2 linked regions of the Caenorhabditis elegans genome follow. The protein of the gene in region 2 purifies or fractionates together with the protein of the main gene of each other region. This does not show direct contact. Each region holds a gene or a part of one and is shown on either strand. Other genes may lie near its edges.

Region 1 (7,791 bases), on a different chromosome or scaffold from region 2:
ATTGTAATAATTTTTAAGATGAAGAGGTTATTGGGAAAAGCGAACTAACTCGTTGATATTCGTCCAGGAATTTCGTATTGTTACTGATATGGCGAATCTTTTTTCCGACATCCTGAAAATTAGAAGCTTTTAATTTCTTTCAGTTTTCAAGATCAATTCGATTGTTCTTACCTTTGCCTCGTCTAAAATTCGTCTTTCATCTGAATTTCCTTGTACATGATCTTGAAGAGCTGCAAGGGCATGACGATTGACAACCTGAACTAATAAAATATTTTTCAAAAATTTAATTCGAACAACTTTTTGTTTATCCTTTCTCTCAAATGGTCGAAAATATTCATAAATGTCATCTAATGTTTCTGCATTTACACGAGAAGTAACAACATGATCAGCAACAAATTCAGCGGCTTGCTTTCTGAATGAATGTTTTAGACTAATCATTAAAAACATGAATTCTACTTTTGTGCTGGTGAACTTGAATCGGAAAGTAGCTCTTGGCGGAATCGAAGATATTCTAGCGCTTCTTTGAACATCAATTTATCTTTCGGAATTCTTTCAACGGGCGGCTCGTAGAACCCATATTCCCAGATGGGATCATTCCGATGGAGAAATTCCGATTCACGAGTGGGAAGATCTCTGAATTTTATTTTTATAAAAATCAAATGCAATTTGAAACTAAACTCACTTCGTAGATGTCCATCTTTCAACTGGATCAGTTGATTTGATGTACATTTTATTCATATTTTCCACCAAACTTTCATTTTTCATCGCTAATTCTTTTTTGATTTCTTCGCTAACTTCTCGTGATTTTTCAGTTGGATATTTTGGTGGGACGACCTGAAAATTTAGAAGTTATTAAGTTAATATTTTAAAAATTATTTTTGTACTCTTACTTTTGTTTCCCCTTTTTCAATTTTCGCTACTTCTTCTACAGACTTTTTGAGATAATTCGCATTCTTCACACCAGACCCAACCTTTTTCCAAAGTCGTTTCATCTGAAAATTGTAATGACAGCAGAGAGTTTCGTCCAGAAGTGAATAGGGAAATTAATAAAAAGGATCGCAAAAATTCGGGGTACGGTACTTCTTTAAAGGTACAGCACCCGAATTTATTTTTGGGTTTCGCAACGAGTTTCGTCATGCAACTTTTATCGATTTTTTTCGCAGAATTAGCGACACGTTTTCTTATTTCTAATCCAGAAATTTCTTATTTAATTTAACCAAAATTTTGCATCATGGAGGAAATATGTGTTTTTAATATAATGCTTCAAATTCTTTACTCAAAGTTCTTTGCGAAAAAATGATTATTAGTTTTAATCCGTTTCACTGACTGAAATTTATGAACCCAAAGTGTTTAACACCCGAAATTTATTAAATTTGAAATAAATATATTTTATAAATAGAAACAAAAATAAGCAATGACGCTCCACCGCAATAGCTGCCACCGATCAATAATTGAAAGTTAGTCACTCACTGCTTCTTGGGCTACGTTGGCTACTCGCCTGCTCGTTTCTCTGCGACACTTCACTTTTTATGCTCTCTCGCTTCTCGGACAAATATCTTTTTTCTGCAAGACTAGGAACAGACATTTCGATGGCTCATTATTGGTTCCAAAAGCTTTCTATTTTAAATTCAATTTAAACCAATGTTTTTAAATTTTAATTCTATCTAGTTCGAAGTTCTTGGTTTTCTTCTTATTTTTAAACGTTATCGTTATCATGAGATCTCTTTTCTGTTGTTCTCGTTAACTGAAACAGTCAATAATCTATTTTTATTGGTTCAGCCCAAAAATGACAGCAGACGCCAATAAAAGCGAATCACTGTTGTGTATGGATAAAGCTCGAGAGGCTATTAAAGTGAGTTTTGTGATTGTTCAGCATTTCAGTTAATAAATTATGTATTTTAGTCTGGTGACACCGATAAAGCAAGGAGAATGCTGTTGAAGGCGAAAAAGTTGGATCCTGGTCAAAATATTGAATGTAAGATTTCTTTTCAGATGTAGAGCAGCGTGAATGTGAGATTTTGCTTTAAAATGCTAAAAATAGACTGAACATCAGAAATATAAAATAACAAGAACGAAAAAATCGCGAAAGTATGAAAAATCTAACTATTAAAAATTAGATTTTTCAATTTTCGCTAAAACCAATATGGATTTATCCTTTCACACTTTTTTTCGTTTCTTTTTTGTGGTATTTCCGAATTTCAGACTGTTTTGAGTATTTTCCCCTTTTCCGCTGCTCCATCTTTAAATTTCTGCACAAACTCTGTAACTTGAAAGATTTGAAAGTTGATGCACATGCCCGTATTCTGAAAAAATCTGTGTTTATTTAATTTTCCATGCAAAAAAATTGAAATCAATTTCCAATTTCCGTTCACACAAACGTCTGTTTTTCGTTTCTTCGGCAAAAAAAACCGAAGTGAAACCAAAATGACCATTACGAAGAGATACAAGATACATCATTGAAGGACCCGTTTATTACAACCCACTTGGTGAGAGAAACGATTTCTTTCACTCTCTACGCCTATCAAAAATAAGAAAAAGCAGGAACCTTTGTGCAAGAAACGTTGAGACGTGAGACATGTAATTTGAGAGTTTTGTTCTTACTCAACAGTTGTAAAGGTTATAGATAAACTTTGAAAAATCTTGAAAAAAGTCGCTGAAAATTTAATTAAAATAATTTTAAAAAAAAACACTATTTTCAGTTCTAACGAAAAAGATAGATGATATGACAAACAACACATCATCATCTTCCCAAACATCTTCATCACGTGCTTCAGAAGAACGTAGTTATGCTCACGACGATCACTATGATGACCCAAACTTAAGGAATCGAAAAGCTAGAAGTCCTGTAAAAAAGAATGGAAAAACAGAACCAGAACCAAAACAACGATCTGCATCAAGAACACCTAAACTTGGCGTTGATTATACCAGTGAACAAAAAGAATTGGTCGAGAGAATTCGTCATTGCAAGGATTATTACGAAATTCTTAAAATTGACAAGAAGGCGAGCGATGATGATATTCGTAAAGAATATCGAAAATTGGCGTTGAAGTTACATCCGGACAAGTGTAGAGCTCCACACGCTACGGAGGCGTTCAAGGGTAATTTTTTACAGTTTTAATTTGAAAATTATAAAAGACCGAATTATTTTTGAATTCCCGCTCAAATTAATGGCCTAGTTTTGACATTTTTGGTTTTCCGGTTTAATTAATTGCTGATCTTCTTTCTTGTGGTTCACATTAAAACAACGCTAGTGATAATTTTAATTAATGTTAAAATATTGATTTTATGGCCAATTTTTGAGTTTCTGCGAATTTTTACGTTTCCTTATGTTACAAATCATGAAACAAAGAGATATAAAATAATACAGCCGAAAATGCAAAATTTTCTGCAAAGTTAATAAAATTGAAAAATGTTTTAAATTTTTAAAAAATCAAATTTGGTATTCTGGGACCATTTTCCGCGATTTCGGGCAAAAAATCACCCTGAACTATAATTTATCTATCTTATGCCATCTTTCAATAAAATTTTTCTATAAATATTTTTTGATACTTTTCCATCGAAAAAAAACTTAAACGAATTTAAATCGTTTTTTTAAAAAGAAATCTCGTTAAAAATTGTTTAATTGTTTTTCAGCTCTTGGAAATGCGTACGCAGTGCTTTCTGATACTGATAAACGCCGACAATACGATCAATATGGAGCTGAAGCAGCGAATTCACACACTCCGACAACAAGAAGACGTGGTGGAGGACATGGTGCATTCTTTGAACATGATTATGCACATGGATTCGAGGGTTAGCTACTTTAAACATTTTTAGACAAACTGCTTCATCAGCAGTCTGAATTAATTTGAGATATTCTCCTATGTCAATTGCTCAACAATTTAAAAATCAACTAAATTTATTAGATTGTGATAAAATAACAATTAATCTTTTTTTTTATTGCAGCCGAATTCACACCAGAAGAGATTTTCAACATGTTCTTCGGAGGCGGATTCCCTACCGAACAAGTTCGCCGACGTGCTCGATATGCTCAACAGCAACAGTATCATCATTATGAACAACAGCAAAGTCCATATGGACCACTTCTTCAATTATTGCCACTTATCGCCATTATGGTCATTGGATTGTTAGCCCAGTTGATGGTTGGAGAACCTGCGTATTCACTTCATCAAACTTCGTTAGTTTTTACTTTTTTTGAAACTGGAAAAAGTGAATAGTAAAATGCCTGTCAATTTTGTTACGTACATTAAGGCATTCAAATCAGGTGCAATCATGTATTGCGCAGATGCGAATTTTTGCGATTCCAAAATTACTGTACCCGGTCTCGACACGAAAAGCGCTTTTAACGAGTATTGTAATTCAAAACTTTGGTCCCTGCGGAATTTTTATCGATTTTTCAAATTAAAAAAATTTATATGCACTTATGAAATGAAAAAAAAAACGTATAAATTTAAGAGATCGTGAGAAAAACTATGAAAAATCGATGAAAATATTACAGCAACGAAAGTTTAAAATTACAGTACTTTTTTGTTTTTGCATTTAACAAATAATTGTCGTGTCGAGACCGGGAGTTTTGGCGCAAACTTTCGCGTTTGGGTAATATGTAAAAAAAGAAAAAGTACACTTTAATCAGCATTGAAAAATTAATCTTGAAACAAGTATTTTTCAATAGCCTTTTGGTCAGTATGATAATTTCAAATAAATTTTTCACAAAAAGAAACCTTTGGAAAAACTGGAATTTTTAGTTGTGTTTTATATTTAAGTATATATTCATCGCGAAATTTTCCAATTTTAAAAAAATTCCAAGTTCCGTTACCAAAATTACAATTTCCACATTAACAGTACTACAGTGCGTGCAACTTCTATAGCGCCCCCTATTTTTTTCGTGTTTCGTCACTTTCCCAAACTTTTTTGAGAAAACCATTATAGCCATTCGATTTCAAATGTCAAAAAACCCCCTGTCCGAAGTTTTCATGAAAAAATATCAAAGACTACGGTAATTAGGTCAAAAAGTCTGAAAAACGACCGTGCAACTTCTATAGCGCTCCCTCAAATTTTCGCTATTTTTCAATAAAATACCTAGTTTTATGAGATTTCTGAAAAGGATATAGTATTATATATTAAGAAAAATGATCATAAGGTCTCATTTTTCAATTTTCAACAGAAATATATTACGTGAAAACTTCTGGGATCCCAAGAGTGGCCTGAAACGCTTCACTTTGTGGCCAGTTCTCGGCACCCACTGCATGTATTGATACGAAACTTGAACTAATCATTTAATTTTGTTCACTAAAGATATTTTGAAAGGTTGATATTAAATTCGGTGGAGATAGGTAAGGTAGATAGCGCTGCATGTATTGACTGCATGTATTGATACGAAACTTGACCGAAATTTTCATTTTGATTTACTGATAATGTTTCAATAAGTTGTCATAAAATTTGGTCAATATGGGCCAGGTTGACAGCCCAAGTTAATAGTAAGGCTAGTAACCAATCAGTTGTTCTATCGAGAGGCATGTCAGAGAATGGATGTGCGTCTTTTCTGGTTGACAAGATATCCATTCAATTAACTATTTAAAACAAATTTTGTCCGGATCGAAAAATGTTGGAAAATGATCGGTAAAATTCGAGAAATATCCCTCAAACAAATTAACAGGTGCAGAAACACTGGGCGGGTCTCTTTCCCGTGGTTCCGCGCGTTTCATTCGGGATCGAACGACAAAAGAACTGTCGAAGTGTTCAGAGGGGTCACAGAACTTGCATCCGAACTTAATATTTCAAAGTGTTTGTTAAAAACTAAAAATTCACCCAAAAACCTGCGGGCAGTGAACTCGCCCAGTTTTGATGTATGTGCAAATTTTTTAAAGGAGATCTCCTGTATTGGACCAATCATTTTTCAAAAGTTTGTTGTTCGAATAACACTTATAAAAATTTCAACAATGAATATGAAGCTTTTCTACCAGAAATGAACCGCGTCCAATCTCTGGCACGTCGCAAAAATCTGTTCTAGAGAGAAAAACTTATTTCCTCACAATGAGCAGCGCTATCTACCTTACCTATCTCCACCGAATTTAATATCAACCTTTCAAAATATCTTTAGTGAACAAAATTAAATGATTAGTTCAAGTTTCGTATCAATACATGCAGTGGGTGCCGAGAACTGGCCACAAAGTGAAGCGTTTCAGGCCACTCTTGGGATCCCAGAAGTTTTCACGTAATATATTTCTGTTGAAAATTGAAAAATGAGACCTTATGATCATTTTTCTTAATATATAATACTATATCCTTTTCAGAAATCTCATAAAACTAGGTATTTTATTGAAAAATAGCGAAAATTTGAGGGAGCGCTATAGAAGTTGCACGGTCGTTTTTCAGACTTTTTGACCTAATTACCGTAGTCTTTGATATTTTTTCATGAAAACTTCGGACAGGGGGTTTTTTGACATTTGAAATCGAATGGCTATAATGGTTTTCTCAAAAAAGTTTGGGAAAGTGACGAAACACGAAAAAAATAGGGGGCGCTATAGAAGTTGCACGCACTGTACTTCTTTGAATACTTTTCTAAAATATCAATTTTCAGAAAATTCACAATAAAACGACTGACAGCAGATTTACGAGTTCCATATTTTGTACGAACGGACTTTGAGACCTCGTATCGAGGACGAATCCGACAAGTTGAGCAACAAGTGGAAGATGATTATATTCAGAATTTACGGATGAATTGTTATAAAGAACAAAATCTAAGTGAGTTGTTCAATTATTTCAATTTTATTTGAAAAAAATACTTATTTAAAACAAATTATTTTCAAAGGTGTGCTTGTGGAACGAAATTTGAAATTAAATTAAATTTCGTCCATTTCAATTTAACGTGATGTATATTTTTCCTTAAATAAAATGTTCACCGCTCTAAAAATTCATTTAAAATACTTTTATATATCAAAAAATAAGCATAAAACTTTTCCAGAAGAAACAAAACTTTATCGAGCTCGTTGGATGCGTGACGAAGCAATGATGCGTGATGCAGAACGAACACCTCTTCCAAGTTGTATTCGTCTCAATGAAATTTATTCTCATTGATTTCACCCAGTTGATCTGTTTTCATATAATATTCAAATTGTCTGGAAATGCCGGTGTATCACTTCCTCCTCTTTTCCTCATCTCCTCCATTCAAGACTTTTATTAGGCCTCCTACCCCTTTCTTAAATTTTTCGGAAAAGAGATAATGGTTCAATTCTCCTCCACAAAAAACACTTGTATACGGGACAATATCGTTTACTTTTTGCTCGTGCCTCTTTCTTTTTTTTAATTATTACTTCATGTTGTTTTCTTAACGTTCCTCGAAAATGGCTCAGCTAAAGAGTTCTGTGATTTGTGTGCTCCAGTCAGAAGATTTCCACGTTTTCTTTTATTTTTATTGCTCCCCAATATATTCTTCTACTCGTTTTTTGTATTCTTGTCGTAAAACCATGATTAGTGATTTATTTTCTTTGAATAATAAAATTGCCAAAGATTTCCAAGTGCCTTGGCGAAGATATTCATTGGTAAATCATTTATTCAAAAAGAAAATTGTGATGTCAGTTACATCCGGCTTCTCCCCACTGGGAAACGTCTTTGGTGAAATAAGTGAGATGATCAGAAACAGATGCAGTAATCAAAAGTCCATTGGAACAATCATTCGATTCATCGGAAGATGAGCAAACTTTGAAAGAAGCTCCAGCATTCATTGATTCTTTGTAGAAAACCTAAATTCAAATTTCTAATCCTTTCAGACTAATATTATTTCTTTCAAAC
Region 2 (6,246 bases):
TTTTAGTTTATTCTACGTAAAAGAATTATAGTACAATTTAAAATTCAAAAAATCATCAATTATACGATAATCAAAGCATTTATGATCTAAAAAAAAACATCAAGAAATCAATAATAATACACAAAATAATACTAATGATATTAATAAGAGCAAAATGGTTTCGGTGTGGATATTCAAAAAAATTCACTTATTCTGAAAATAAAGAAATTTGGCAAACTTCAGAATATCGTTTCTTGGGTTCTTGTGATAAGACTATAAAATTAAAATTTCTCAAATAAATTATCAAACAGCAAGGTTAGAATTTACCAATACAGAAGTTTGCTGTTTCACAATAAATTTCGACCAAAATTTAGTTTTTCAAATCAAACATCAAGCATCACAATTCTTTCTTAAAATTTCAAAATAGACTCAATGTCATTACCGAACTCTCTTTCCGAGAAGTTTGTAAACTCTGACCCGTATCAATGTGTGTTCTATTTCCATCCATGTTCCATTGCTCTTTGCTCAATATCATGTACCTCAATGTGTGTACGCGTGTTTATTTGCAGACCATACCACTATAATTTCTAACAATCCATGCTAACTTGAAACGTCAAGAATTGCGTGTTCCAAAAATGGTTGCCATCTGTGATGTCGAACAAACATTGCCAGGCATCTTATTGCCTCCCCTCGTTTCAAGCTCTGTGTACACAGTACAAATAAATATTCCAGTTTTGATTAATTCTCACCTCCCCCTTCTCCTCCCGAATCTACCTACCAACTTACTAGCCTACCTTAGTAACTTTACTCGACCTCATTTTTCTTTTATAACTGATAGGTTTTCATCATTTTTCCATTACTGAGTCAAAGCGTTCTGTCTAGCTAGTAATAATTGGTTAGGCACTGGTATGTAGTACTTTGCTCAATTTGAAAACACTTTTCGGAGTTGAGAGTTGTCGGAGAAACAACAGTTTTCACGTTTTTTGGGTAAAGAACCTTCACAAAAGCGTTTCTCAAACAATGATTACGGTAGTACACTAGTCACACTTCCGGTCAGTATTCAATATTCAATTAGGCAAAAGAGCAACAACTACAAGTCATAGGTTTACATGAACTTTTCAACTGCTTATTATTTCACTTTTTTCCTATTATTTACCAAGCATATTATATAATGATCCATTTTCTCTGCTCTCCACTTCTTGCTCTCTGTCCACTCGAAAACTTGTGAACGTTTTAGGTTCCGTGTCGTTTTTATTTTGCAGTAAGATAAACTGATAACTTTTTGGCTGATCATTGTGACTAATCAAACCGGTCGACCAGTTAAAAATAGTTACAGTTACAGACGGTAACTAGTTGTTCCGTTTCACAAAAAAAAACCTGGCGGAATTAATTTTGCTCAACTTTCTCTGTGCCTCCCAGCAAATTGATAAATTTTCATTTCTTCCGAGTATTTCCTTAAATTATCGAGCAACTGGAAACATTTCGTTTTGCCACAAAATTAAGAAAAATTAAATAGTTATTTTCTAGCGGCGTCTCCCGTTTTTTGAAATATCTAGTAAATGCTCAACGTTAACAACATAAGATTTCTGAAATATTCGGTGCTAGCTTAATAACCGGATTTCTGAGACGTTGACACTAGAGGTCGAGCACCGCAAAATACCTACTTGAACCTTGTCTACTTATGAAAACTGATCCTTACTGTCTAAAAAGTTTTGTAAGACTGTGTTCTCATAATTTTGTGTTTCAGATATGTTGATGGTCGATGAGCAACTAAAAATAGGGGCGACGCCAATGTACAGCCCAAGTCACAATCGTAAGTTGATTTTGTATTTTTGGATTTTTTGATATTATTATGGGTTTTTGTAAGAAAAAAGTTCAAAACTTTTTCGTTAATTCTTTTCAGGTCTGAATCACTTAATGTTAAATAGAAAATTGTAGTAGCAACAGTGTTTCGACTAGCGGTTTAGAAGATTTGAATGCACCTTTTAAATATAGATTTAAAAACCACGCATTATGGTTCATATAGTCAATATTAATTAAGTCGATAATGTGCAAAAACTAAATTATTTAAGCCAGTCTCTGAATACAGATTATTTTATGTGAATCACTATGTCTTCTTTGAACATACAAAGCAAATACCAAGGACTTATTTTTGCCCTTATTATCCTGTCAAATACAAAGTACTACTTGTTGTGAGATGGGCTGTACAGAGTTTCTCCTGGACCTATGTTCAAACATATCAGTATTATGCCTTCAGCTATTGTGATAGCAGATGATATGGAGAAGGGTGGAAGCGACAGCGATAGTCTACCATCATCACCCACACATCATCATGAACTCTACCGACGACCTTGGATTCATGAGCCAAGAGCCACGTAAGTCTAGTTAACTCATTCTTGTTCAATTGTTTACTATTTAATATGATTTCAGTAACTTCTTTGTGCGCCTCATAACCAGTTTATATGCACTAATCTTAACTATAATATCATTGGTGGTTGAAGTCTCACCGACATGGAGAACCGATATGTGGCTTGCTGAAACGGTTAGGAGTGAAACAATGAAATGAAATGAAATTTTCAATGCGATCATTTTAGATCTTCTACATATCAATGTATGGAGTTGGCATTCTGTTTTTCGCGTACTGCTATATATTTATAATTTATCCCGGGCCGTATAATCAATTAATATCAGTGCTCAGAAAATATAAAATTATCAAAAACTCAGAGGTAACGGATAATTTTAATAAAAGTTCATTGAGAAACTGAAAAATCTGCAGGTCTGGTTCATAATGCAAAGCCAACACAATGGAGAAGGAGCTGGCACATTGTACTTACGACTGGGTGCTCTTTGTAAGTGGGACATACAAGAAATAGATTAAAATAAAACATTTCAGTTTTCGGAAGCGTTGGAATTGTTCTATTCGGATTGGAGCTGTTTCTGTGTATTGAAAATGTTGCATGCAAAAAAGTTGCGATTGCGAAAATGATTGTGGCAATAGTATTCACCTTTATTCAAATGCATTTCATTTTTTGCAATTCCAAGGTGATCTATTCTTTATGTGCTGTAGAAAAAAAGGAATTTCAGATAACTGTAAACAGTTCTCGTAAAATTGTTGCGTTTGGTATGATGCACCTGATATCGGTGAATTTATGGACATGGTTTCGATTTGTGCTGGCTAAACAAGTTTGATTTTTTAAAAATAACTTTTTACTGCAAATTAGAGTATCATTATAATTAAAATTCATAATTTCAAAAAAAAAATTGTAAAAAGATTGGTTTTTGCCGTAAATATTTTAGTCGCAATGCTTGTAAATTTATTTATTGTTCTTTGTTTAAAGGTGGATAGCGTCTGTGGGGATTTTGTCTTACAATTTTGTCTCTGTTAATACACTTATTAAGATCCAAGGCGATTGAATATATCATCATAAAACACTATTAAAACTTTTAGATTTTTGATATTTCCAGTTAAACTATTGGCGAATTGGCAACTTTTTTGATAATACTAGTTTTTGAGGAAATCCAGAGCATTGTCGCATATTCCAATCATTACAATGTAGACGTAGTTGATTAAAACGAAATTAAAGTTTGAAAATAATAGAAACCCCTTTTTTTTGATGAAGTTCAAAATTATTTGTGACAAAAATTTTCAATTTTTTTTTTTGAAAAATTCAGTCATTTGGCATTATTTTGAGTGGTTTTAAACATGAAAACCACTAGCGCAACTCCACCTTTGATTGCTTAGACAATTTGTATATATATATATATATATTATGCTTAAAAACAAAAAATAGTTTTATTCATATTCAAAGTTTTTTCTTTACTGAAAAATTAAAGAAGGCTTGCGAGTACACAAAAATATTTTTCTAGATGCAGCTCTATTTTTTAAATCAAAACAAATGGTGTTATGTTTCAGGAAGCTAAAGCCCACAAAAAAGCGCAACTTAAACAGACATTTCGAAAGTACTATTCCTCATCCTCGTCATCATCTTCCGAAGAGATTCACGAGTTGATAAGCGCAGTTCTTAACTCAACGGTAAGTACTCTGCAGTATCATAGGTCATTCACTTTTTCTTCTCTCAGCTCAACAACACTCCGGCGACAAAGACGATGGAGCCAGTGGCCAGCAGATTGTTTGCTCTCGAGCACTTCGGAGATGTTGCCACATTTTTGACCACTTGCATTGTGGAGTGAGTTAACTCTAAGAGAACTAAACAAAAAAGTGATGATGATGGGTTTTTTTTTTCAAGGTACTCGTTAATTGGTGCTGCAATCATGTTTATTTTGTGGAAGTCAATAGGTCAAAACAATCATCAACAGAGTAACAGTGGGAAGCGAAAAGTGAAAATGAGGATTGATTGCAGGTAAAATTTCAGAGAATAAAAAAAATAAGAAAATATAAATAAATTAAAAACGCTAACGCTCAATACATTTTTATTAGCAATGAAATATACATTATGTCACAAAAATGAACTGAGCATCATATTTTTCCTTATTGAAAAGTATATTATTATAAGCTAGTGTAGACTTGGAGCCGTCGAAACTTGTATTAGATTTTTTTGATCTCATTGGGCATTATCCTATTTTTTTCCAGCTCTTCATCTACAGGCTTATTTGCTGGAATCATATTCCTTATTGGCTCTTTGGTCTCCATGGGAATGTACACAATATTCGAATCATTGCGAAACAGCTCTGGGGCTCAATTAGTATTTGGTATTGTGGATTTGTCACTCTTTTCAATTGCCCTTGGCGCATGTATCATTGGTCTATGGAGGTTTACAGAGTACACTAAAACTATTAGTACTAATCCATTATATTTTAGAATGCGACATCTTCAGTACCGTCTACATGCTCACGGGGAAGTAATTGATGAGATTTTGCTGATAATTGGTTTGATTGGAGAAATTTTGTACTGTGCAGTTGGAATCGATGTATTCATAACTTGTCGCAGATCTGCTGATCTCACTGTTAGCGCATTGCCGGCGTTTGTTTTTGTGATTCGAATGATTCAAGTTGTGGTTCAAGCCGCTTTCATACTCACTACTTCAAGGTAGGGACATGGAAAAGCGTGCAAAACATATTTTCGTGTAAATACAATGTTTCCATCACTGCATATGATGAGACTTCCGAGTTTTTAATTTTTTATCAAAATATTCATCAAAATTTCAGACTTCGCTGTCTTTCCAAATACTCGATGAAATATAAACCTGGAAAGGAAATCATAACATTTTTACTCGTCTCCAATGTTACATTATTCGTCTTCCACACTTTTGAAGGCATGAAATCAAGTTTCGGGTTTTCTAGCAAAGCAGCTACTCAATATAATTACATTATTTACGCAGTGGGACCATTGCTGGTTTTCTATAGGTAAATCTTAATTAGCTTTTATTTAAAATTTTCTAGTTGTTGATTAATTATTTTGTTACAGATTCCATAGTTCAGCATGTCTTGCCGAGATATGGAAGCACACATACAGCACAAAAAGCAACGAATACGATCATGAACACATGTCCCTTTCTGATAGTAACTTAACCGCAATCACCCCAATTTCTGATATCAAGGAGATTCCATCTCCACAATTATTGAAACATTGAATTTCTACTACTTGTATATTATATTCATTTCGTATGCAATGCTAAATTAGACCCAATTCTCATATCACTCAGATCTTCCACAGTTACTTGTTCATTTAATTTTGATATTTTTCACTCACCAAGCGGGATTTTTTTTGTACCACTAGTTTTTTATGTTCGTTCGGGACAATAAATTTTTTCTCAATTTGAAATAATGTATAGTCTTTATGATTCAACTAATGAAGAACATCAATAAATTATCAATAAGTCATATAGATGGTCTAGGCATCTATGCATCTAGGTAGGGTTATTGTTATCTCAGAACAGAGACTAGTGAAATCATTATCACAAAAAATCTTTGAAAAATCTTTGCATAAGTAATTTCTAAGATTAATTGTAATTTATAATAACTTAAAGTTGTGTTCTCGGTTATAAAAGTTCTAACTAGACTATTCTGATAAATGTGGAGTCAGAATACCAAAACCTAAAAATTTTAAACAAGTCATGTCCTTTCACACTGAATTTTTGTGTAACGTGATCCTCAAAACCTCTCAATCTAAAACATGAAACTTTCATTCGCAAAAAAAAATAAATAGAGAAAATAATATTAATGCACATATAAATAAAAATAAATAAACATCTATCAATAATACACATTATAATTTTTAAAAATTTTCGTACATATGAATTTGTATTT

What was found. The genes of interacting proteins can lie anywhere in the genome.
Region 1: the proteins of otpl-8 (region 2) and dnj-1 fractionate together in Caenorhabditis elegans (co-fractionation; one large-scale study listed by BioGRID). This does not show direct contact.

Annotation. Positions count from the first base shown.
Region 1 is NC_003282.8:11,297,257-11,305,047, forward strand, and holds dnj-1 (DnaJ homolog subfamily B member 1), read left to right. Parts: upstream 1-1,779; 5' UTR 1,780-1,786; coding exon 1,787-1,852; intron 1,853-1,902; coding exon 1,903-1,975; intron 1,976-2,699; coding exon 2,700-3,098; intron 3,099-3,633; coding exon 3,634-3,792; intron 3,793-3,945; coding exon 3,946-4,177; intron 4,178-6,580; coding exon 6,581-6,744; intron 6,745-6,964; coding exon 6,965-7,077; 3' UTR 7,078-7,533; downstream 7,534-7,791. Other genes in the region: B0035.15 (uncharacterized protein), read right to left, coding at 50-112, 172-255, 298-412, 457-633, 683-834, 891-992; B0035.13 (Fungal lipase-type domain-containing protein), read right to left, coding at 7,575-7,742.
Region 2 is NC_003284.9:12,266,422-12,272,667, reverse strand, and holds otpl-8 (Otopetrin-2), read left to right. Parts: upstream 1-1,726; 5' UTR 1,727-1,728; coding exon 1,729-1,792; intron 1,793-2,236; coding exon 2,237-2,354; intron 2,355-2,409; coding exon 2,410-2,521; intron 2,522-2,573; coding exon 2,574-2,705; intron 2,706-2,755; coding exon 2,756-2,828; intron 2,829-2,872; coding exon 2,873-3,021; intron 3,022-3,063; coding exon 3,064-3,162; intron 3,163-3,892; coding exon 3,893-4,012; intron 4,013-4,059; coding exon 4,060-4,166; intron 4,167-4,226; coding exon 4,227-4,340; intron 4,341-4,570; coding exon 4,571-4,750; intron 4,751-4,798; coding exon 4,799-5,026; intron 5,027-5,145; coding exon 5,146-5,343; intron 5,344-5,404; coding exon 5,405-5,570; 3' UTR 5,571-5,715; downstream 5,716-6,246.